2 linked regions of the Elephas maximus indicus genome follow. The protein of the gene in region 2 purifies or fractionates together with the protein of the main gene of each other region. This does not show direct contact. Links are inferred from orthologs where the notes say so. Each region holds a gene or a part of one and is shown on either strand. Other genes may lie near its edges. The genes, in order: VAMP8 and STX11.

Region 1 (10,745 bases), on a different chromosome or scaffold from region 2:
CATCTCAGTTCCTTGGACCTCAAATTCAGGAGTGGCCTGAGGAAAGAATATGGACATGGTTGTGGCAAAGACTGCCCCAGGGTCTCTTCTGTGGTTCCTTCTCTCTCCCCGGAGAAAACATGATTCTAGGACCTGATTTACAAGTACCCAAAAAACCTCCATTGCCATCAAGTCGATTCCTACTCATAGCAACCCTATAGGACAGAGTAGAACTGCCCCAGAGGACTTCCAAGGAGCTGCTGGTGGATTTGAACTGCCAACCTCCTGCTTAGCAGTTGAATGCTTAACCACTGTGCCACCAGGGCTCCTGATGTACGAGTACTAGTCCCAAATCCAGCCTCCCAACCCTGCCCCTTCCCTACTTCCTTTGCAAAATATGTTTCCAATTCTGGAAAACCCATGACTAGGGGAATAGGGGCACAGATGGCAAGGCTCCTCCCCCCAAAACAAACCAGACTGGGCACTAGAAAGAGTGGCAATGACGGTGGAACCTGGTGGGGAGGAGGCAGGCCTGAAGACACAGAAGCCCATTGTGCATGGACAGGAAGGAGGGCCACAGGCCCTGTCCTGTGACACTGACTGTGCCCAGCCATGGGACGTGGGGAAGAGACGCTTGCCCCCTCAGGACAGCTGAGACCCAGGGGCCCTGCTAAGTCTCAGAAGGGCAGGGCAGGCAACAGACAAGAGCTTGCAGAAGAAAAGAAAAAGCAGTCCAGCTCCTTTAACCCCCAGTTCTAGACTGCAAAAGGGTCAGTGATGGGAGAGGCAAGAGGCCTACACCAGATTCCTAACTGCTATCAGGGAGGCTTCATGTTTGGCTAACACTTCCAGCAGACAAGGAGTAAAGGGACACGGCAGGGTCTAAGGGGGATACATAGGAGTCTTACACACCACACTAAAATGCTGTGAAGGTTTTGCTTTATGCCAAGACCCCCAGAAAACTCTTGCTCTTGAGACCTGTGACAATGAATGGGTTAGGACCAAGAAGGAATAAAGAAATACAGGCAGGCTCCATTTTTCTCCTCCAAACATAAGCTCTCCACCTCTCCAACAACTTGGGTCTCAAGTCAGAGGACCTCAGCCAGAGACTGTTTTCAGGAAGAATAGAAACAGGAGAGTCAAAGGCAAAATGGAAAGGAGAAAGTGCCTCACACACGTGCACGCACGTAGGGATACTGAAAAGTCTTTATTACCCTCAGGCCACCAAGAGTTTCCCAGCCACATACTGGGCCCCGAGTCTCTCCAACCCACTCTGAGGACCCATGAAATGCAGCCACAGTCCAGCTCTCTCCTTCCAGTGGACCAAGGTGCTCCCTGGGGTAGGCAATGTACAGAGGGACCTCAGGCAAGGAGCCGGAGGCCTGGACCCAGCAGCATTGCCTGTGGAGGAGGGCGGGAGAGAGGGCCCCCTTGCCATCAACTATGGAGGGTTGCCCCAGAGGGCAGGGTGGGAGGGGACTCTCTAAACAGGAATGGCACCAGTGGCAAAGAGCACGATGAAGAGGATGATGATGAAGACAACCACACAGATGAGGACTATCATCTTCACATTCTTCCACCAGAACTTCCGGGCCACTTTCTGTGATGTTGTCTTGAAGTGCTCGGACTGTCGGGGATAAGAGACAGTAAGTGACCCAGTGCCTCCTTCCCCTCGGGGTGGAGGTTCACATGCCATAAAAAAAAAAAAAAAAAAAAAAAAAAAAAATTCATGCCATACATCTAAATATTTCAGCTATAAGCTGAGATAACAAACTGTGAAATTAAAAAAAAAAAAAAAAAGTTCTAGCTTCCTACCTTGACAAATGTATCATCAGAACCACCTGGCAGACCACGTTCAAATTTAGAATTCTTAGGCTCCAGAGAGTTCTCTACCTAAACGTGGCAGGGGCCCTGGCTCCCAACCTGCCATCTTCTCTTCTACCCTTGGCACTGTCACACACGTGGAGGGGCCTTGTACACACATGCTCTACCCAGGGGAAAAACGCTTTGGGAAGGCAGACCCTGGGGGAGGCGCAGGCATCTCCCTGGCTCCATGACTCCTTTACCTGTGGGGGCTGCGGAAGCTGGAGGACAGACCTGGGGCATTCTGGGTAGTGGGGCTGGTGTTGGTGTTGGGAGTGAGGAAAACCATACCTCTTCCCCCAACTTCAGTTGCAGAAACTAAGTTTCCCTGGGCCATTCTCCCCAGACTGGGTGGCAGAAAGAAAAAGTAAGTCCCCGGGACTCCAAGGAGCTATACTCAAGATTAACCACAGGACTCAGAAAGCCAGAGCTCGTCTCTCCTGGCTGAATATGGAACCTGAGGCTCCAGCCTTTGCTGAACTTGGAGATACTCCCTTCCTGAGCATCTGGCCCCGGCCCCTGGGTGGAGAGAGAAGAAGGAGGCCTAGCAAGATGTGTGGGAAATATTATTCTAGCCTTCAGCTGGCAGAGGACCCCAGGATCAAAGAATTTCACTCCCCTTCCAGCTCCTCTTTAAAGCTGACTCAGCAAGATTCCAGCAGTTTCCACCCCCTGCCTGCTAACTCCTGGAGAAGGCAAAGGCCCCTAGTAGGATTTCCCAGACTTAATAGTTTTGTCCTGGAGAGGTCAAATCTTAAATAATTGTCAAGGGCATCCTTTAAAGGGAAAACCGGTTTTATAGGAGGGAAGCCTAAGAGTGCATGGTCTGACTGAGCCATCCATCTGTCTCAGAAAATGCCTCAAGCATCAGCCCCCCAATCCCTGATCGTTGATCCCATGCCTTGGGCCCCAGTACCACTCAGTGTAGAAGTGGAAGATCAGAGCAGGGACTCAGCTCACACCAACTCCCAAAACGTAGAAAGGCATAGAAATGGCAAATTGCAAACTTCTGTCTCTCCTGTTCTTTTTTGGCCCACAAATAAATACTTGCCTTGCCCCCAACACACAACCCTCCCTCTCTCCCTCCAGCCTCGGCGGGCTCCCCATCTCACTGTGGCTTCCAGGTCCTCTGTCTTGTTCCGGAGATGGTCCAAGTTTTCTCCTCGGGCCAGGATCCGCTCCACATTCTGGGTCATAATATTCTTGACTCCTTCCACCTCACTCTGCAGGTTCCGCACCCGGTCATTTCCTGAGCCTCCACTGGCCTCCTCCTGGGCAGCAACACAGGGTTAATGAGGCCCAGTGGTGGAGGAACTGAAAGCCTGTCTCAAAGGCCAGAGGAGGGGAAGGGGGCCTTTAGCTTTTTGTAATGCCTGAATTGGTTGCAAAGAGAATTTTTTGTGTATTACTTGTATAATCAAAAGTAAATGTATTCTTTAGCCCCAGAAAGTGAGATCTAGACAGACTAAAGCAAATTCATGTCTGGCTTCTCAGGGCTCCTGATAAGGAAAAGCAGCACACTACTAAGCCCCTCTCTGCTGCTCCTGGCCCCTCTGAGAGGCACAGAAGATGGTGGAGCTGACATCCATGGCGTCCTTTCCCCACCAGTGCAGAGCCCACCACTGTTTACAAGCTCCCAGAGGCATCCCTGCCTTCCCCTGATTCCACAGCCTCCCGCCCCCACCCCCTTAAAAGTGGCTGCTCTGCCCAGCCCAGCCAGCCCTCTCTCCAGCCCCGAAGCTGGAGCGCTGCTAGGCTCCTGGCCCTCCTGGGCAGCCTAGCCATAGTTCCATTGCTGGGACCCAGAGCACTGAGCAGCCTGAGTCCAAGTCCCCCACGAGGTACCCAGGCCGTTGAGCCGCAAACTTCTGCTTTCCCCACCACTTAGCACTATTCCCAGGCCCCAAGCTGCTGCCTGCTTATGCAGATATTAAACTGAAATACCAGGTTCGCTGTTGGGTGAAATGCCAGACAAGCCCTCCCTGGCTGGTGCCTCCTCCAGGTTTGACGATAAGGTTTTTGAACAGGGAGGGGAAAAAACATTATTAAACTCCTGCCTGCTAGGCCCACCGAGCCTCCTGAAACAGGCCAGGGGTATGGGCCAACACTAGACCACAGACAACCAAGTTCTGATTCTTTTACAAACCCTTAAGTCTCCAGTTTACCGACAGGGGGGCAGTTCCTGAGGCCCGGTGGGCAGCCCAATCCTTCAGAGTTTTGTGTAGGAGTAAAAGTGAAAGGCAGGGGTAGAGAGCCTGCCGCTGGCTGGAATTTAAGCTGGAAACAGCAGAGGCTCTACCCTGTAGGGAGCGCCACGACACCCGGGCCGGCTGGAGGAGGAGACTTGTTGGCAGGCAGTTCTAGTCCCGGAATTCGGACCCCCACACGGCTCGGGCCGGCACGGAGGTCAGGGGAGGGCAGAAGAGGGAACAGGCGCCCGGCGGCTCCGAGCCATTTGCGGCCAAGCTGTCAAAGAATACGGGCCACAGGCAGCGCTGGCCCAGCCCTCGGACTCCGCCAGCAACTTCCAGCACCTACAGCCCCCGGCCCGAGCTCCTCGGTCCCGGTTAAGTCAGCCCCTTCCTCGCCCCGTTCGCTCACCATGTCTCCGAGCACAAGGCCTGCCGGCAGCCGAGCTCGCCTAGTAGGCTTCCTCCCGCGGGAGCCCTCGGTTCACTTCCTGCTTACTCCAACTTTCAGCTTGCCCCCGCCCACTCGCATCCCGGGCCGCTCCAGCCACACCTAGCGCAGGTCCCCGCAGGTAGGCGGGCGCCCTGCACTGCCCTCCCAAACCAGGGTCTGGACTTAAGCAACAGGGCTCCCCGGCGGCAAAGGTCTGCAAACTCGTCGGGAGGGAGAAAAGAACTGTGGAACAGCCCTCTAAGTTTCCTGAGGTTGGGCCTTGTGACCTAGAAACTGCAGCCGTCTCCTTTTTCTGCTCTGAATACCTGAGACCGAAATCAATCATAGCACCTGCGAGGCCTGGTTCACTTAGGAATAGAATGCAGATACAGAAATTCCTTGCTGGAAAACCCCTTTTCCCAGGTCCGTGGGTGGGCCGAAAGCATTAACTCCCGCGATGTCTGGAATGCTGTGACCCTGGGCTCTGACGTCAGGAAGGTTTAAGTCCCAGCTGTGTCAGTTTACTAGCCCCATGACCCTGCTTGACCCTTCACCTCTCAGTTTTGCAGATGCTAACACTGGAGCCCTGGTGGTGTAGTGGCTAAGAGCTCAGCTGCTAACCAAAGGGGTTTCCGAGGAGTAGCTGGTGGATTGGAACTGCCACCCTTCTGGTTAGCACCAGAGCTCTCAACCATTGCACCACCAGGGCTCCTTGGTGAAGATTACATATACCCATTGCCTTCGACCCTGGTAAAGATTACAGCCTAGAAAACCCTATGGGGCAGTTCTACTCTGTCACATGGGGTCACTATGAGTCGAGATAACTCAATGGCAACTAAGAACAATACTGACCCCAGCCAGTGCTGTTGAGGGATAAAGAGACAGCACCAGCAAAGTGCCTAGCTCAGGGCCTGTACGGTGCCAGAAAGTACCAGGGAGTGATGGCTCACCACCCTCCTTCCTTCCAAAGGTCAGCAGTCCTGCATTTCCCTTCAGGGGCCCCATGAGGGCTGGCAAGCCTGGTCAGAGGACTGCCCAATAGCCAGAGAGGGTACCAGGGTGAAGGATTCTTCCATCAATCTGGCTCCAGGCCAGGGAAAATCCACCCCTCCCAGATAGTCTTTATCAAGAAGACAGAACAACAACAACAGGGACATGCAGAAGGGAAGAAACATGCCTAACCCATCACAGGAGGTAACAGTTCCGAGAGGTAAATGTCAGCTCCTCCAAAAAATACATTTGTTAAAAAAAGGCTTTAAGAAGTTTTGGACTACTGTATCACTTTGAGGACCCCTGGTGGCACAGTGGTTAAGAGCTATGGCTGTTAACCAAAAGTTCAGCAGTTTGAATCCACCAGCTGTTCCTTGGAAACCCTACGGGGCAGTTTTTCTCTGTGAGTTGGTTTATGAGTAGGAATCGACTCCACGGCAGTGGGTTTGGTACCACTTTGGATTCCTGGGTGGTGTAAGCAGCTGAGTTCTTGACTCCTAACTGAAAGGTTGGTGGTCTTGGAAAAAAGGCCTGGTGATCTGCTTCCAAAAAGTCACAGCCTTAAAAATCCGATGGAGGGCAGTTCTACTCGGCACACATGGGGTTGCCATGAGTTGGAACTGACTCAAGGCCAATGGGATTTTTTTGGTAGCACTCTGAGATACGTTCCTTCCAATTTATAAGGTTTTAATCTCAATTAGATTATTAGATTATGGACACCTGAGATTTTTTTAAATAATATTTTATTGTGTTTTTGGTGAAAGTTCACATAACGAATTAGGTTCCCACTTAACAATTTCTATACAAATTATTCAGTGACATTAGTTACATTTTTCACAATGTGTCAACATTCTCTTTAACTGCCTTTTGGTTGCTCTGTTTCCAGCATTCTATTTTTCCTGCCCCCTTGTCTTCTCATCTTTGCTTTAGAGTAATCATTGACCCTTTGGTCTCATATAGATGATTTTTTTTAATGGAGAAGTGTACTCACAGAGAATATCCCTTATTTTGTGTGCCAATCTGTTATTTCATTAAAAGGTGACATAAGGGGATGGTTTTGGTTCAAGGTTCAGACCTGAATTTTGGTAGACAGGACAATCAGCCCTATAAGCAGGGGTATAACAGCTGATTTCACAGAGAATGTGACTGCCCTACACCTCACCATCCTTAGAAAAGTTGCTAGTACGGCCAGGTGGAGACGGATTTCATCCTGGGGCTATATTTGTGCTGTCCAATACAGCAGCCACTAGCCTAGCCCCATGTGGCTGTTAGAATTTGCAATGTGGCTAGTCTGAATTGAGGTGTACTCTAAGTGTAAAAAAAAAAAAAAACGTTTTTTTCTAAGTGTAAAATACACACCAGATTTCAAAGACTCTGTAGAAAAAAGAATGTAAGTATCTCCTTAATGATTTTATGTATTGATGATGTGTTGGATATTTTGGATATATTGAGTTAAAATAAAAGATATTAATGGAATTAATTTCATCTGCTTTTTTCCCCCCTTTTTAATTTGGCTAAGTAGAAAATTTTAAATTACAAATGTGGCTCAAATTGTATTTCTATTGGACACACTGATCTACACCTTAATATTTATGTGTATTTAGACAACTTACATAGCACCTCTTGGCACATAAAAACCCGCAGTGAATGTTAGCTATCATGATTACTGTTATTAAGAATTCTAGCTGCTAAGTGAGGTGGGTGCTGGAAATAACAACTTGAAGAGGAAGGGCATTGCATTCATCAACAAAAAGAACATTTCAAGATCTATCCTTAAGTATAATGCTGTAAGTGATAGGATAATATCCATACACCTACAAGGAAGACCAGTTAATACGACTATTATTCAAATTTACGCACCAATCACTAAAGCCAAAGATGAATAAATTGAAGATTTTTATCAGCTGCTGCAGTCTGAAATTGATCGAACATGCAATTAGGATGCATTGATAATTACCAGAGACTGGAACGTGAAAGTTGGAGATGAAGAAGGGTGGGCAGTTGGAAAATACGGCCTTGGTGATAGAAACGATGCCAGAGATTGCATGATAGAATTTTGCAAGACCAACAACTTCTTCATTGCAAGTACCTTTTTTCACCAACATAAATGTGACTATACATGTAGACCTTGCCAGATGGAATACACAGGAATCAAATGGACTACATCTGTGGGAAGAGACAATGGAAAAACTCAGCATCATCAGTCAGAACAAGGCCAGGGGCCTACTTCAGAAGAGGCCACCAATTGCCCATATACAGGTTCAAGCTGAAATTGAAGAAAATTAGAATAAGTTCACGAGAGCCAAAGTATGACCTTGAGTATATCCCACATGAATTTAGAGACCATCTCAAGAAAAGGTTTGATGCGCTGGCAACACTAATGACTGAAGACCAGACGAGTTGTGCAAGGACATCAACGACATCATACACGAAGAAAGCAAGAGGTCATTAAAAAGACTGGATAGAAAAAAAATTCCAAAACGGATGTCAAAAGAGACTCTGAAACTCGCTCCTGAACATTAAGTAGCTAAAGTGAAAGGAAGAAATGATGATGTAAAAGAGCTGAACCGAAGATTTCAAAGGGTGGCTAGAGAAGACAAAGTAAAGTATTATCATGACATGTGCAAAGGTCTGGAGGTGGAAAACCAAAAGGGAAGAACACACTCAGCATTTCTCAACCTGAAAGAACAGAAGAACAAATTTAACCCTCGAGTTGCAATACTGAAGGATTCTATGGGGAAAATATTAAATGAGTCAAGAAGCATCAGAAGAAGATGGAAGGAATACACAGAGTCACTGTACCAAAAAGAATTGGTCGATGTCCAACCATTTCAGGAGGTACAGGAACCAATGGTACTGAAGGAAGAAGTCCAAGCTGCACTGAAGGCATCTGCAAAAAAAAAAAGGCTCCAGGAACTGACAGAATACCAACTGCGATGTTTCAACAAGCAGATGCAGCGCTGGAAGTACTCACTAGTCTATGCCAACTGGCTGGAAGAGGTTTATATTTTTGCCTATTCCCAAGAAAGGTAATCCCACCGAATGTGGAAATTATCAAACAATATCATTAATACCACACACAAGTAAAATTTTGTTGAAGATCACTCAAAATCGGTTGTAGCAGTATATTGACAGGGAACTGCCAGAAATTCAAGCCAGATTCAGAAGAGGACACAGAACCAGGGATATCATTGTTGATGTCAGATGGATCCTGGCTGAAAGCAGAGAATACCAGAAAGATGTTTACCTGTGTTTTACTGACTACACAAAGGCATTCAACTGTGTAGATCATAACAAATCATAGATGACATTGCGAAGAATGGAAATTCCCGAACACTTAATTGTGCTCATGACAAAACTGTACATAGATCAAGAAGCAGTCGTTTGAACAGAACAAGGGGATACTGAGTGGTTTAAAGTCAGGAAAGGTGTGCATCAGGGTTGTGCCCTTTCACCATATCTATTCAATCTGTATGCTGAGCAAATAATCTGAGAAGCTGGACCATATGAAGAAGAACAGGGCATCAGAATTGGATGAAGACTCATTAACAACCTGTGTTATGCTGATGACACAACCTTTCTCGCTGAAAGTGAAGAGGACTTGAAGCACTTACTGATGAAGATCAACGACCACACATAGCCTTCAGTATGGGTTACACCTCAACATAAAACAGAAATCCTCACAACTGGACCAATAAGCAACATCATGATAAACAGGGAAAAGATTGAAGTTGTCAAGGATTTCATTTTACTTGGATCCACAATCAACACCCATAGAAGCTGCAGTCAAAAAATCAAAAGACACATTGCATTGGGCAAATCTGCTGCAAAAGAACTCTTTCAAGTGTTGAAAAGCAAAGATGTCACCTTGAAGACTAAGGTGCACCTTACCCAAGCCATGGTGTTTTCAATCACCTCCTATGCATGTGAAAGCTGGACGGTGAATAAAGAAGACCGAAGAATTGACACCTTTGAATTGTGGTGTTGGGGAATATTGAATATATCATGCACTGCCAAAAGAAGGAACAAATCTGTCTTGGAAGAAGTACAACCAAAATGCTCCTTAAAAGTAAGGACAGTGAGACTACGTCTCACATACTTTGGACATGTTGTCAGGAGGGATCAGTCCCTGAAGAAGGACATCATGGTCAGTAAAGTAGAGGGTCAGCGAAAAACAGGAAGACTCACAGTGAGATGGATTAACACAGTGGCTGCAACGACAGGCTTAAGCATGGCAACAATTGTGGGGATGGCACAGGACTGGTCAGTGGTGTTTTGTTCTTTTGTATATAGGGTTGGTGTGAGTTGGAACCAACTTGATTGCACCTAACAAGTGAGGTGGTGGATGGAGAAACATGAGAGGTGCCAAGAAATAGAAGGCCAGAGTGGGATGCCTGAGAGGAACTGCAAAAATTGGAAGAGGATTCCCAGGATCAGGGTGAGAGTTACAATATTTGAGGAGTTACTGGGTTCTGGCATGCCACAGCAAGCCTTGGACACATGTGGGTGTCCCTGAGGGAGCTGACCCTGGCCTCACCCCAGCAACCATCAGGAGGGAACATCCAAAATGCCCACAGTTGGGCCTGCCAACCTGTTCACCCTTACCTTCACCATGCACATCCTTGCAGGCTGGCCTCACCTGTGCAAACACTACACGGTTACCCTTTGTCAGAAGACTACCTTGAGAATACCCACAAAAGGTGAGACACTCAGAGTCTAATGAGACTCTCCTCCCTGCCTCCAAGTCACACCAAATTACATTTGTGTTATAATGTACTGACTCAATAGTTCTGACTCATAGCAATCCCATGTACAACAGAACAATATAGTGCTCAGTCCTGCGCCATCCTCACATTTGTTGTTATGCTTGAGCCCATTGTTGCAGCCACTGTGTCAATCCATCTCATTGAGGGTCTTCCTCTTTTCTCTGACTCCCTACTTTACCAAGCATAATGTCCTTCTCTAGGGACTGGTCCCTCCTGATAACATGTCCAAAGTACATGAGACAAAGTCTCGCCATCCTTGCTTTTAAGAACCATTCTGGCTATACTTCTTCCAAGGCAGATTTGTTCGTTCTTTTGGCAGTCCGTGGTATATTCAATATTCTTCACCAACACCATAATTCAGATGCATCAATTCCTCTTCTGTATTCCTTATTCATTGCCCAGCTTTCACATGCATCTGAGGCAATTGAAAATAACATGGCTTGGGTCAGACACACCTTAGGCCTAAAAGTGACATGTTTGCATTTTGCATTTTAACACTTTAAAGAGGTCTTTTGACCAAATTAC
Region 2 (11,820 bases):
ACAGTTATCTTTTTTCTATAGATAATTCCCTTTATTTATTCTTTGTTAATTTTTCTGTCATCAGATTTTTAAGTCAATATTGCATAAACAGTTATCTTTTTAAAAAATACTTTATTGTGATTTTGGAGAAAATTTACATAGCAAATTAGGTTGTCATTTAATAATTTCTGTACATATTATTCAGTGACATTGTTACACTTTTCACAATATGTCAGCATTTTTATTATTTCCATTCCGTTTGTTCTGTTTCCATTAATCTAGCTTCCTTGCCCCCTTACCTTCTCATCTTCGTTCTAGGGTAAATCTTGACCGTTGGGTGTCATTTAGATGATTGTTTAGAGAAGCACAGTACTCACAGGTGATATTATTTATTTTATGAGCCGCTCTGTCTTTTGGCTGGTAGGTAACCTCTGGGGGTGGTTGAGTTCCAAGTGTAAATGGTATCCCAGGATGATAAACTTGGGGGCTCCTCTAGTCTCTACCAGCCCAGTAAGTCTGGCCTTTTTTTAGGAATTTGAGCTTTGTCCTGCATTTTTCCCCATCTATCTGGGACTATCTATCATGTCCCTGGTCGGAATGGTCGATAGTGGTAGCCAGGCACCATCTAGTTTTTCTGGTCTCAAGGTAGGTGAGGCTGTGGTTAGTGCAGACTATTACTCCTGTAGACTAGTTTCTTCCTTGAGTCTTTGGTTTCCTTCTCGCTCTTTTGCTCCAGACGTGTAGAGACCAATAATTGTATCTTTATGAGCTATGTTACGTCAACTGACCGAGCTGTCCCCAAAGACTATCATCTTAAGCCCTCAAACTCAGTAACCCAATTCCACAAGGTGTTTGATTATGTCTAGGAAGTATCCACAACTGTGCCCCCATGTGCTGTATTTTTATATAAGAATATGCAGCACACACAAATATGTATGTACATTTGCCTACAGAAACACCTATACATGCACACCTGTATATCCGTATGTACTCACCCACAGGTAAATAAGCATACGTATCTACTTATGTAATTACTTACATATTGTTTGGTTGTTATTACTGTTGTTGCACAACTGTATATGTTGTGGCCTTTACCAAAAATGTTTCTTATTCTTGTGTATTTCTTAGTGTCATCTCTTACATTGGTCAAGTTGTGCTACACTCATCCTTGTTTGATATTGCCTTACTCAACACCAAAACTAACAAATATCTACTATCTAGAAAGTGATTCTCCCTCCCGTCCCTGGTAACCACCAAAGAACATTGCTTTCTATATGTATACCTGGAAATTCTGGTGGCGTAGTGGTTAAGAGCTATGGCTGCTAACCAAAAGGTCGGTAGTTCAAACCCACCAGGCGTTCCTTGGAAACTCTATGGGACAGTTTTACTCTGTCCTATAGGGTTGCTATGAGTTAGAACTGACTAGACAGCAGTGGGTTATGTGTTCTTGTCTTTTTATAATGGGGTCATGCAGTATTTGTCCTTTTGTTATTGACTTATCTCACTCAACATAATGACCTCCAGATTTATCCGTGTTATAGTATATTTAGAGAACAGATTGTTATTCTTTATGGCTGCATAGTATTCCATTGAGTGTATGTACCACAGTTTATCCATTCAATTGCTGATGAGCTGTTGGGTTGTTTCCATCTTTTTGCTATTGTGAATAATGCTGTGATGAACATGGATGTGCATATATCTGTTCATGTCAGTAGTTTTAGTTCTCTAATGGGTTTTTTAGGGTATATACCTAAGAGTGGGATTGCCAGATCAGAGGGTATTTCTATTTCTAGCTTTTTGAGGAAGTGCCATATCGTTTTACATGGTGGTTGAACCAATTTACAATCCCAACAGCATGGAAGCAGAGTTCTAATCTCTCTGCAACCTCTCCAGCATTTGTTGTTTTCTGATCAGTGCCACTTTTGAAGTGATGAAATCGTATCTAATTGTAATTTTGACTTGCATCTCTCTGATGGCTAATTACTGTGATTATCTTTTCATGTGTTTGCTGGCCACTTGAATATCCTCTTTGGTGAGGTGTCTGTTCATGTCCTTTGCCCGTTTTTTAATTGGATTATTTGCCTTTTCACTGTTGAGTGTTAAGGTTTTCTGTGTATTTTAGAGACTAAACCCTTATCGGATATATCATTCTAAAAGATTTTTTTTCCCAATCTGTAGCTTCTTTTTTTAGTTTTTTGTAAACGTGATGGTTAAGGTTGTATGTCAATTTGCCTGGGCAATGATTCTCAGTAGCTTGGCAGTTATGGTGTAGTTTGGCAATTATGTAATGATGTAATGAACTCCATGATGAAATCTGCTATGAGCAGCCAATCAGTTGAAAGTGAGTTTCCTTGGGGGTGTGGCCTGGCTCCAGTATATAAATGGGTGTTACAGCAAGGCTTTCATACTAGATGCTATATCCGGCTTGTCATCATCTGACTTCCAGTTCTTGGGACTTGAACTAGCAGCTTACCTGCTGATCTTGGAGTTTGTCAGCCTCCATAGCCTGTGAACCAGTGACATGCCATCTGACCTGACAATCTTGAGCTCATCAGCCCTTGTAGATACATGAGTCAGGAGAAGCCTCCAGCCTAAAGCCTGACCCATGAACTTAGGACTTGCCAGCCTCTACAACCACATGAGCCATTTCCTTGAGATAAATCTCTCTCTGCACATGTACATATATACACATATATATATACACATACACACACACACACATATATATATACCTCATGGGTTTTGCTTCTCTACAAAATCCATCCTAAGAAGATAAAATTTTTGGTGAGCATAAGTATTTAAATTTTAGGAGGTCCCAGTTATCTAACATGTCTTATGTTGCTTGTGTACTTATAGTTGTGTTTGATAATCTATTACTGAAAAAAATTAGGTCCCATAATTTTGTCCCTGTATTATCTTCCAGGAACTTTATAGTTTTGGCTTTAACATTTAGGTCTTTGATCTATTTTGAGTTAGTTTTTGTGTATGGTATTAGGTATGGATCCTGTTTCAATTTTCTGCAAATAAATATCCAGTTTGGCCAGCACCATTTGTTAAAGAGACTGCTTCTTTCCCATTGAATGGACTTTGACTCTTCATTGAAAATCAGCTGCCCATAGACAGATGGATTTATTCCTGGGTTCTCAATTCTATTTCATTGGTTTATATGTCTGTCATTGAACCAGTACCAGGCTGTTTTGTTTATTGAGGCTGTATAGTATGTTGTGAGATCAGGGAGTGTGAGGCCTCCTACTTTGTTCTTCTTCTTCAATATTGCTTTGGCTATATAGGGTCTCTTTCCTTTCTGTATAAAGTTAGTATATTTTTCCACTTCATTAAAGAATGTTTTTGGAGTTTGGATTGAGATTGTATTATATCTATAGATCACTTTGGGTAGTGGTCATGGATTGAATTGTGTCCCCCCAAAATATCTGTCAACTTGGCTAGGTCATGATTCCCAGTATTGTATGATTGTCTATCATTTTGTCATCTGATGTGATTTCCCTATGTGTTGTAAATCCTATTGCTACGATGCTAATGAGGTGGATTAGTGCCAGTTATATTGATAAGATCTATGAGATTAGATAGAGTCTAAAGCCAATCTGTTTTGAGATATAAAAAAGAGAAGTGAGCAGAGAGACATGGGGACCTCATACCACCAAGAAAGCCTGCTGGAAGCAGAGCGTGCCCTTTGGACCTGAGGTTCCTGTGCTGAGATGCTCCCAGACCAAAGGAACGCTGATGCATCACAAAGACCTTCCTCCAGACCCAAAAGAGAGGGAAAGCCTTCTCCTGGAGCTGGCACCCTGAATTTGGACTTCTAGCCTACTAGGCTGTGAGAGAATAAACTTCTCTTTGTTAAAGCCATCTTCTTGTGGTATTTCTGTTACAGCAGCACTAGATGACCAAGACAGTGGCATTAACATTTTCACAATGTTAAATTTTCCAATCCATGAGTATGCAATATTTTTCCATTTATGAAGGTCACTTTTAGTTTCTTACAGTAGTGTTTTATAGTTTTCATTGTATAGGTCTTTTACATCCCTGGCTAGATTTATTCTTAGGTATTTTATCCTTTTGAGGGGTATTGTAAACTGTATTTTTAAAATTTCCTTTTCAGGGTTCTCCTTGTTAGTGTAAAGTAACCCGACTTATTTTTATGTGTTGATCTTGTACTCTGCCACTTTGCTGAATCCTTCTATTAGATCCAGTAGTTTCTTGTGGAATCTCTGGGATTCTCCATGTAAAGAATCGTGTCATCTGCAAATAGAGAGAGTGTTACTTCTTCCTTTCCAATTTGGATCCATTTTTTCTTTTCTTGTTTTATTGCTCTGACTAGGACTTTCAGGATAATATTGAATAAAAATGGTGATAGCAAGCATCCTTGTGTTGCACCTGCTCTCAAGGGGGAGGCCAGTTAATTATCTTTTAAGGATATTTAGCAATAAGAAAAAAATTTTTTGTATATTTACCTAAGTAGTTTCCATTTCCAGTGTTCTTCCTTCCTTTGTGTAGATCCATATTTCCATCTAGTATCATTTTTCTTCTGCCTGAAGAACTTCCTTTAGCATGTGTGAGTCTGCTGGTAATGAATTCTTTCAGCATAAGTATGTCTGGGAAAATCTTTATTTCATCTTTGTTTTTGAAGGATGTATTCATTGGGTATATATATATATATATATATATATATATATATATATATATATATATATATATATATATACATAGACAGTTTTCCTTTCTTTTTTTTTCCCCCTTAGTATTTTTTCTTCTCACTTGCATTCCTTTGGTGTGAAACATTCTGTCATCCTTATCTTTTTCTTTCCGTACATAATGTGTCATTTTCCTCTGGCTGCTTTAAAGATTTCCCCTTTATCACTGATTTTGAGCAGTTTGGTTATGATATGCCTTCGAGTGGTTTAATTCATGTTTTTTGTGCTCAAGCTCATTGACCTTTTCAGATCTGTGGGTTTTACAGGTTTCCAAAATTTTTAAAATATTTTTCCCACCCCTCCCTTCCTTTGGGGTTTGCAATTACATATGTATTAGGCCATTTGAAGTTGTGCTAAAAAATTACTACAGAGTATTCCTGAATATTCTCTACTCAGTTTCTCTAATTGTTTTGCTTTTTTCTTCCTCTTTCTGTTTTTCTCTTTCTCTCTCTTTGTCTCTCTGTCTCTCTCTCCACACACACACACAGTCACATATGGACACACATATGCACACACACATTGTTTTTTCTGAGCGTTTCGAGATTCAGTTGCAAACATGATGCCCCATTATTCCTTAATGCTTGAGTATGTATTTTCTAAGAAAAAAGAACTCTTCTGTACTACTATAGGTTTGATAGAAGATAGATCACACTTCAGTATTTCAATTTATTAACACTGCATACAGTCATAAATATTCAATAAAGACAGTTTCATGAAATTAAACTCTTGTATTTTAGCATTTTATTTTAGGGACAGTTTTAAATTGATTGATTCACTAAAATCAGGGATTGATAGTTCAAAAGGAATTTATAGTTTAAAGGAAAAATTACAACAATGAGGATCAAGAAAATGAATACCTATTGTATTTAAAGTAGAGATTCACATGGTAACAAGTGAAATACAAAATACCCAATTTTACTTTTCTATTTTTAGAATAGACATTTGTGGTTTTGTTTCATCAAAGCAGTATTAAATCATTGTTTATTTTAATATTATTAATTTTATACTTAGATGGTGCAGATTGATTTGGAATTTATGCATTTTTTAAGGGCCTGTAGACATAAAGAATATATATCATGTGTATGTTTAAGTAAGGAGCCCTGGTGGCACTGTGATTAAGCCCTTGGCTGCTAACTGAAAAGTCTGCAGTTCACACCCACCAGCCACTCTGCCAGAGAAAGATGTGGTAATTTGTTTCTGTAAAGATTATAGCCTAGGAAACCCTGTATGGCAGTTCTATCCTGTCCTATAGGGTTGCTGTGAGTCCATATCCACTCAAGGGCACACAACAACAATATTGTTTATATTATATTTAAATAACATTAGAGGAGTAATAGTTTGTCATTGATCCTGGATTTCCTGTTTTTTTTTTCCTTGCAGGAAGGTCCAATCATTATTTAAGACAGAAACGTGCTATGCTAGGCCCATAGATAAAATAAGGACCTAGAAATGATTATGGCCAGTACCCACATTTGTATTGTAACCGAAGATGAATTCCAATCTGCATGGGACATCTGTGTTTTTTTGTGACTAGAGCCGTGACAAAAGTTCCTGTTTTTCATAACTCACTTTTGCCTATTACCAACCTGTAGAAAATAAAGTTTAAAGAAGTCAGCTGGAGCTGCCTGCTTTCAACACCCAAAGCTAGTGATGCAAGGCCGTGTCAGCCCAAAGATTCCTCCTGACACTTGGGCACCCCAGTAAGGTAAGATGCTGCAGACCGAAAGGAGCTTCTGCCAGGCTCTCCAACGAGTCCTCACCAAGATCATCATCACATGGTGCAGATATCGTCAAACACACAATTTGCCTTTTGAATTTGTGTGTTCACTCTGCAGAGTTCAACCTGTTTTCACTATACCAAATTTCGTAAGTTTGTCTTAAACACCCATTCATCGTTTTAAACACTTTTTTTTTTTGTGGTACCAATATTGTCCTTTTTAATTTTCTTTAGAGTCGCAGAAGGATGCTGGCTGTTGTCTATGAACACACAGAAATTATAAATCATCTGTGACAGAGGAAACAGTTCGTCTGAAGAGGATACCAAAGGAAAAACTAAGAGAAACAAAAACATGGAGCTGCAGCAAATGGATGAAGAAGAGGAAAAAGAGAAGACCACCAGGTCTCAGCCCGAAAGTAAGACTTTTTGGTATAGCACTATATAGTTTCTAAATGGATCACACAAATTCATCTAAATGAACAAAATATGAATGTAAAAACGTTAAGTCTTTTTGTAAGAATCATACTTGTTGAGAACTAATTTAATTATTCAAATTAAAAACTAATATCTAGAGGCTTCTGCCTAAAATATTACGTATAAAAACCTTGGCTTACTTGTTATACTCTGTTTATGCTTTTCTGTTTCGCTTTTCTCAATTCCTCAGGACAGGGCAATGGTGCAAAAAGGGTTTACCAGAAATGAGTATTGAGCAACAGTCTCATCTTAAAATACTTTTGCAACTCGTTATGCAAAATCACTGTTGCAGAAAAATTGAGTTCCATTAAGCGCTATTCAGCAGACCAGTTATACCGTCTCTCTACCAGACTTTTTAAACCCATTCCTTTTCACAGGGAAGTTTTGTTCTCTTTGTATGCATACAGCAACCAATACATGCTAAACTGAAGTCCCTTACAACAAGTATGCAAATGTATTAGAAGAAAGTTTTCACTTAATTGAAGTTTGGGTTAAAATTAAAATACAACAATGCCATTTTAGGAATTGCAGGTGTCTTATTTACCTAGTGCTGCTATAACAAAAAATACCACAGGTGGAAGGCTTTAACAAAGAGAAATTTATTCTCTCACAGTCTAGGGAGTTAGAAGTCCAAATTCAGGGCACCAGCTCCAGGGAAGGCTTTCTCTCTCTGTTGGCTCTGAGGGAAGGTCCTTGTCATCAATCTTCCCTGGTCAAGGAGCTTCTTAGCACAGGGACCCCAGGTCCAAGGGAAGCGCTATGTTCTTGGTGCTTCTAACTTGGTGGTATGAGGTCCCCCTGTCTCTAGGCTTGCTTCTCTCTTTTATATCTCAAAAGAGATTGGCTTAAAACACAATCTAGTCTTGTAGATTGAGTCCTGCCTCATTAACATAACTGCCGCTAATCCCATGTCATTAACATCATAGAGATAGGATTTACAACACATAGGAAAATCACATCAGATGACAAAATGGTGGACAATCCCACAATACTGGGAGTCATGGCCCAGCCAAGTTTACAGATATTTGGGGGGCACACAATTCAATCCATGACAGTAGGCAAGGATAAAATTTTACTAATACCAAAATAATACAATTTCCACTACTTGTTTTCTACTCCTCCTTGTGTACCATGCACAGAAAAATAAATAAGCTTACTAAACAAAAAGGAACTTGCTTTTCTATGAGTTACCCATTGTGCCCTTTTCTTTTTAAAGTAATTTTTCTAATTTTACTTAGATTTTGAATGCAAGCAAAAAAGTCATTTGCTTTGGAGAGTCATTTTTTAAAAGGAAAAGAGCTTTGGGTCTTCTGTGGTCTTTGATAGTGCACTTGGATTCTTTATTTTTTAGTGGTTAAGGATTTGCATTTTGTGTTGGACACTAGGATTTGAATCTAGGTTCTTCTACTTACTGGTGCTGGGACTGTGGATAGGAGACTTGAAGTCTTATTTTCCCCCTTTGTCAAATGGGGTTGAGTAGGGCACATCTAATAAATTTGTGATGAGAATTATACGAAATTATATATGAAAATGTTAGCACAGTGCTTGGCAATTGTAACTGCAACAGCAAGTATTGGTTATCTTTAATATTGGTATTAGTATTATCCTATGAGTCGGAATCGACTCGGCGGCACTGGGTTTTTTTTTTTAGTAGTATTATGGGATTTCCCTTTTTTAATAATCTGGAGCTGGCTGATTATTTTATGTTTGAATCTTGAGCTTCAAGGTTTAGAATCTGTATTCTCTGGTAAGGCTGTGTGTGTTGAGTACTGATGGATTTTTTGCAGTACCGAAATACAGCCTTCCTCACATATCTAGAAACAACTTAGAACTTCTAAGATGTAGAAACATTTAAAACCTTAAAAATAAACCTATCACCTTACAAATTCTCATTTACATATTTCTATAAATTACGTGTTATATAAAGAAGCTATAAAAGATTCACCTGTGAATCTGAGGATATTTCTTTAGTCTGAGTGTACTGGAGAAAAATTTATATTATGTCACATACTGTATGTTTTCTTCATAAAGCTAATCAGTGAATTGAACAGTAATATGATAATACATATCACCAGGGGCTATTTTTGTAAGGACTGTAGGTACAGAATTTCTGAAGCTGGCATTTGAGGGCTATGATCTAGCTGCTAATTAAGGATGGCATATCAGTTACGGTCCCAACAGGAAACAGATGATACATTCAAATTAACCACCCACTGCCCTTGAGTCGATTCCGACTCATAGCAACCCTATAGGACAGGGTAGAACTGCGCCATAGAGTTTCCAAGGAGCACCTGGCAGATTTGAACTGCCGACCTCTTGGTTAGCAGCCATAGCACTTAACCACTACACCACCAGGGTTTCCACATTCAAATTAGAATAACTCAAAACCAAAACCAAACCCACTGCCATTGAGTCGATTCCGACTCACAGCGACCCTATAGGACAGAGTAGAACTGCACCATAGAGTTTCCAAGGAGCACCTAGTGGATTTGAATTGCCAACCACTTGGTTAGCAGCCACAGCACTTAACCACTACACTACCAGCCTTCCCAGGATAACTCAAGGAAGACTTATTTGTAAGAGGGCTTTTACAAACGCCATCACTTATCTGTCAGTTTATTGTACTGTGGTAGCTTATGTGTTGCTATGATGCTGGAAGCTATGCCACTGGTATTTCAAACACTAGAAGGGTCACCATGGTAGATAGGTTTTAGCAGAGCTTCTGGACTAAGACAGACTAAAAAGAAAGGCCTGGTAATCTACTTCCAAAAATTAGCCAATAAAAACCTTATGGATTACAACAGAACATTGTCCAACTCACTTGCTTTGGAGACATCATCAGGAAAGATCAATTGCTGGAGAAGGACATCATGTTTGGTGAAAGAGAGGACTAGAGAAGGTAAGGGACAATGTCTTAGTCATCCAGTGCTGCTACAACAGAAATAACACAAGTGAATGGTTTTAACAAACAGAAATTTTTTCTTTCACAATCTAGTATGCTAAAAGTTTGAATTCAGCATACCACCTCCAGGGGAAGACTTTCTCTCTCTGTTGGCTCTGGAAAAAGGTCCTTGTTATCAGCCTTCCCTTGGTTGGGGAGCTTCTTAGTGCAGGGACCTTAGGTCCAAAGGAAGCTCTATGCTCCCAGTGCTACTTTCTTGGTGGTATGAGGTCCCCATGTCTCTCTGCTTGCTTCTCTCTTTTGTATCCCAAAAGAGATTGGTTTAAGACACAATTTAATCTTGTAGATTGAGCCCTGCCTCATTGACATAACTGCCAATAATCCCATGTCATAAACATCAGAGATAGGATTTACAACACTTAGGAAAGTCACATTAGATGAGAAAATGACGGACGATCACACAATACTAAGATAGCCTAGCCAAATTGATACACATATTTTGGGGTGACACAATTCCATCCATGACAGAGACTCTTGGTAAGATGTTTTGGCACAGTAGCCACAACAATGGACTTGAACATGCTGGCGATAGTGAGGATGATGCACGTTGGGGCAATGTTTCCTTCTTTTGTACATAAAGTTGCAGTGAGTCAGATTCAACTCGATGCAGATATCTATGTATCTGTCTATCTATCTACCTATATGTCTGTCTCTATTACGAAGGTGTGGGCAGAGTGTCAAGGAACAGTAATATCATCCTGAGAATCATTAGTAGGGAGAAGTACCTGGAACCAGGAAGGAGAGAGAGTCATGTAGAGCAGTTTAGAATAAATTCACTGACCTCAACCCCTGTTTCTGCTCTCCTGCTAGGGTTCCTCATTGGTTAAGCCCAAGGGAAGCCACAGAGCACAGGAGTCTGTTAGGCTAATTCTCTCAGATCAGCAGGCCCAGGGCAGACAGCAGGGTGGAGGGAGGTGGAAAGCAATCTGGACGAACAAAGAAAAGACATCTGGCATATATGTTAATACTATAAAAATCTAGAATTTATTTTTTCTTGTTACTCTATTCATTGGTTGCAAATGTTTATAAAACAGAATTGTAGCTTTATACACACACAGTAGACAAGATTCTTCCAGGAATTTAGTTTAAAGCTACATTTTGAGCAATGGTGGAAAGAACATACGTAACTTAAAATCTTTGTTTTATAAAAATAAATTTTTTTTTAACTATATTGGAAGTATATGCATATTTCTAAGTCTTGTTATGCCTGGATGCCTCTCTTATAATGCCACCTCAGAACCCTGAGATCCTCCAAATTCAGTTCAGCAGTTACTTTGATCATTCATTCACTCTTCATTCAACAAACATTTAAGGGAGGTCTCCAATGTGCTAGGTACTGTGCTAGGCTTTGAGTAAAAGTAGTAAGTGGAAATAAAAACAATCTCTGCCTTTTTCAAGCTTACTTTTTAGTAGATTTGTGTTTTGAAATGTTTAGAGAAAGATCTAAATAGTTATATAAGTCTGGTTCATAAAGGTAATCATCAAGAGCAACAGAACCACATGGCCATTAATTGTCCAAATACAACATTTAAACATGAAAATTGGAGACCTTGCTGAGGAGTCATTTATGTGTGAAATAGCCACAAACTTTTTTTTTTGTTGTTGTTGTTGTTGTGTTAGGTTCCATTGAGTTGGTTCTGACTCATAGAGACACTATGTACAACAGAAACACTGCCTGGTCCTGCCCCATCCTCGCAATCATATGATTAAGCCCATTGTCACAGCCACTCATTGAGTGTCTTCCTTTTTTCCATGACCCTCTACTGTACCAGGCATGATGTCCTTCTCCATGGACTGGTCCCTGGAGAAGGACTTGTCCCTCCTGATAATATTTCAAAGTATATGAGACTAAGTCTTGCCATCCTCACTTCTAAGGAGCACTCTGGATGTATTTCTTCCGAGATAGACTTGTTCATTCTTCTGGCAGTCCATGGTATATTCAATATTCTTCACCAACGCCATAATTCAAAGGCATC

Evidence for each region.
Region 1: the proteins of STX11 (region 2) and VAMP8 purify together in Homo sapiens (co-immunoprecipitation; 3 studies listed by BioGRID and IntAct, counting the BioPlex papers as one, with this or other methods). This does not show direct contact. The link is inferred for Elephas maximus indicus from reciprocal best matches to the Homo sapiens genes STX11 and VAMP8.

Annotation. Positions count from the first base shown.
Region 1 is NC_064835.1:49,019,283-49,030,027, forward strand, and holds VAMP8 (vesicle-associated membrane protein 8), read right to left. Parts: upstream 4,637-10,745; 5' UTR 4,447-4,636; coding exon 4,444-4,446; intron 3,114-4,443; coding exon 2,955-3,113; intron 1,607-2,954; coding exon 1,463-1,606; 3' UTR 1,149-1,462; downstream 1-1,148. UniProt on the Homo sapiens protein: SNAREs, soluble N-ethylmaleimide-sensitive factor-attachment protein receptors, are essential proteins for fusion of cellular membranes.
Region 2 is NC_064819.1:214,680,390-214,692,209, forward strand, and holds the start of STX11 (syntaxin-11), read left to right. Parts: upstream 1-6,301; 5' UTR 6,302-6,396; exon of another isoform or gene 6,397-6,557; intron 6,558-6,642; 5' UTR 6,643-6,760; coding exon 6,761-6,824; intron 6,825-11,820. UniProt on the Homo sapiens protein: SNARE that acts to regulate protein transport between late endosomes and the trans-Golgi network.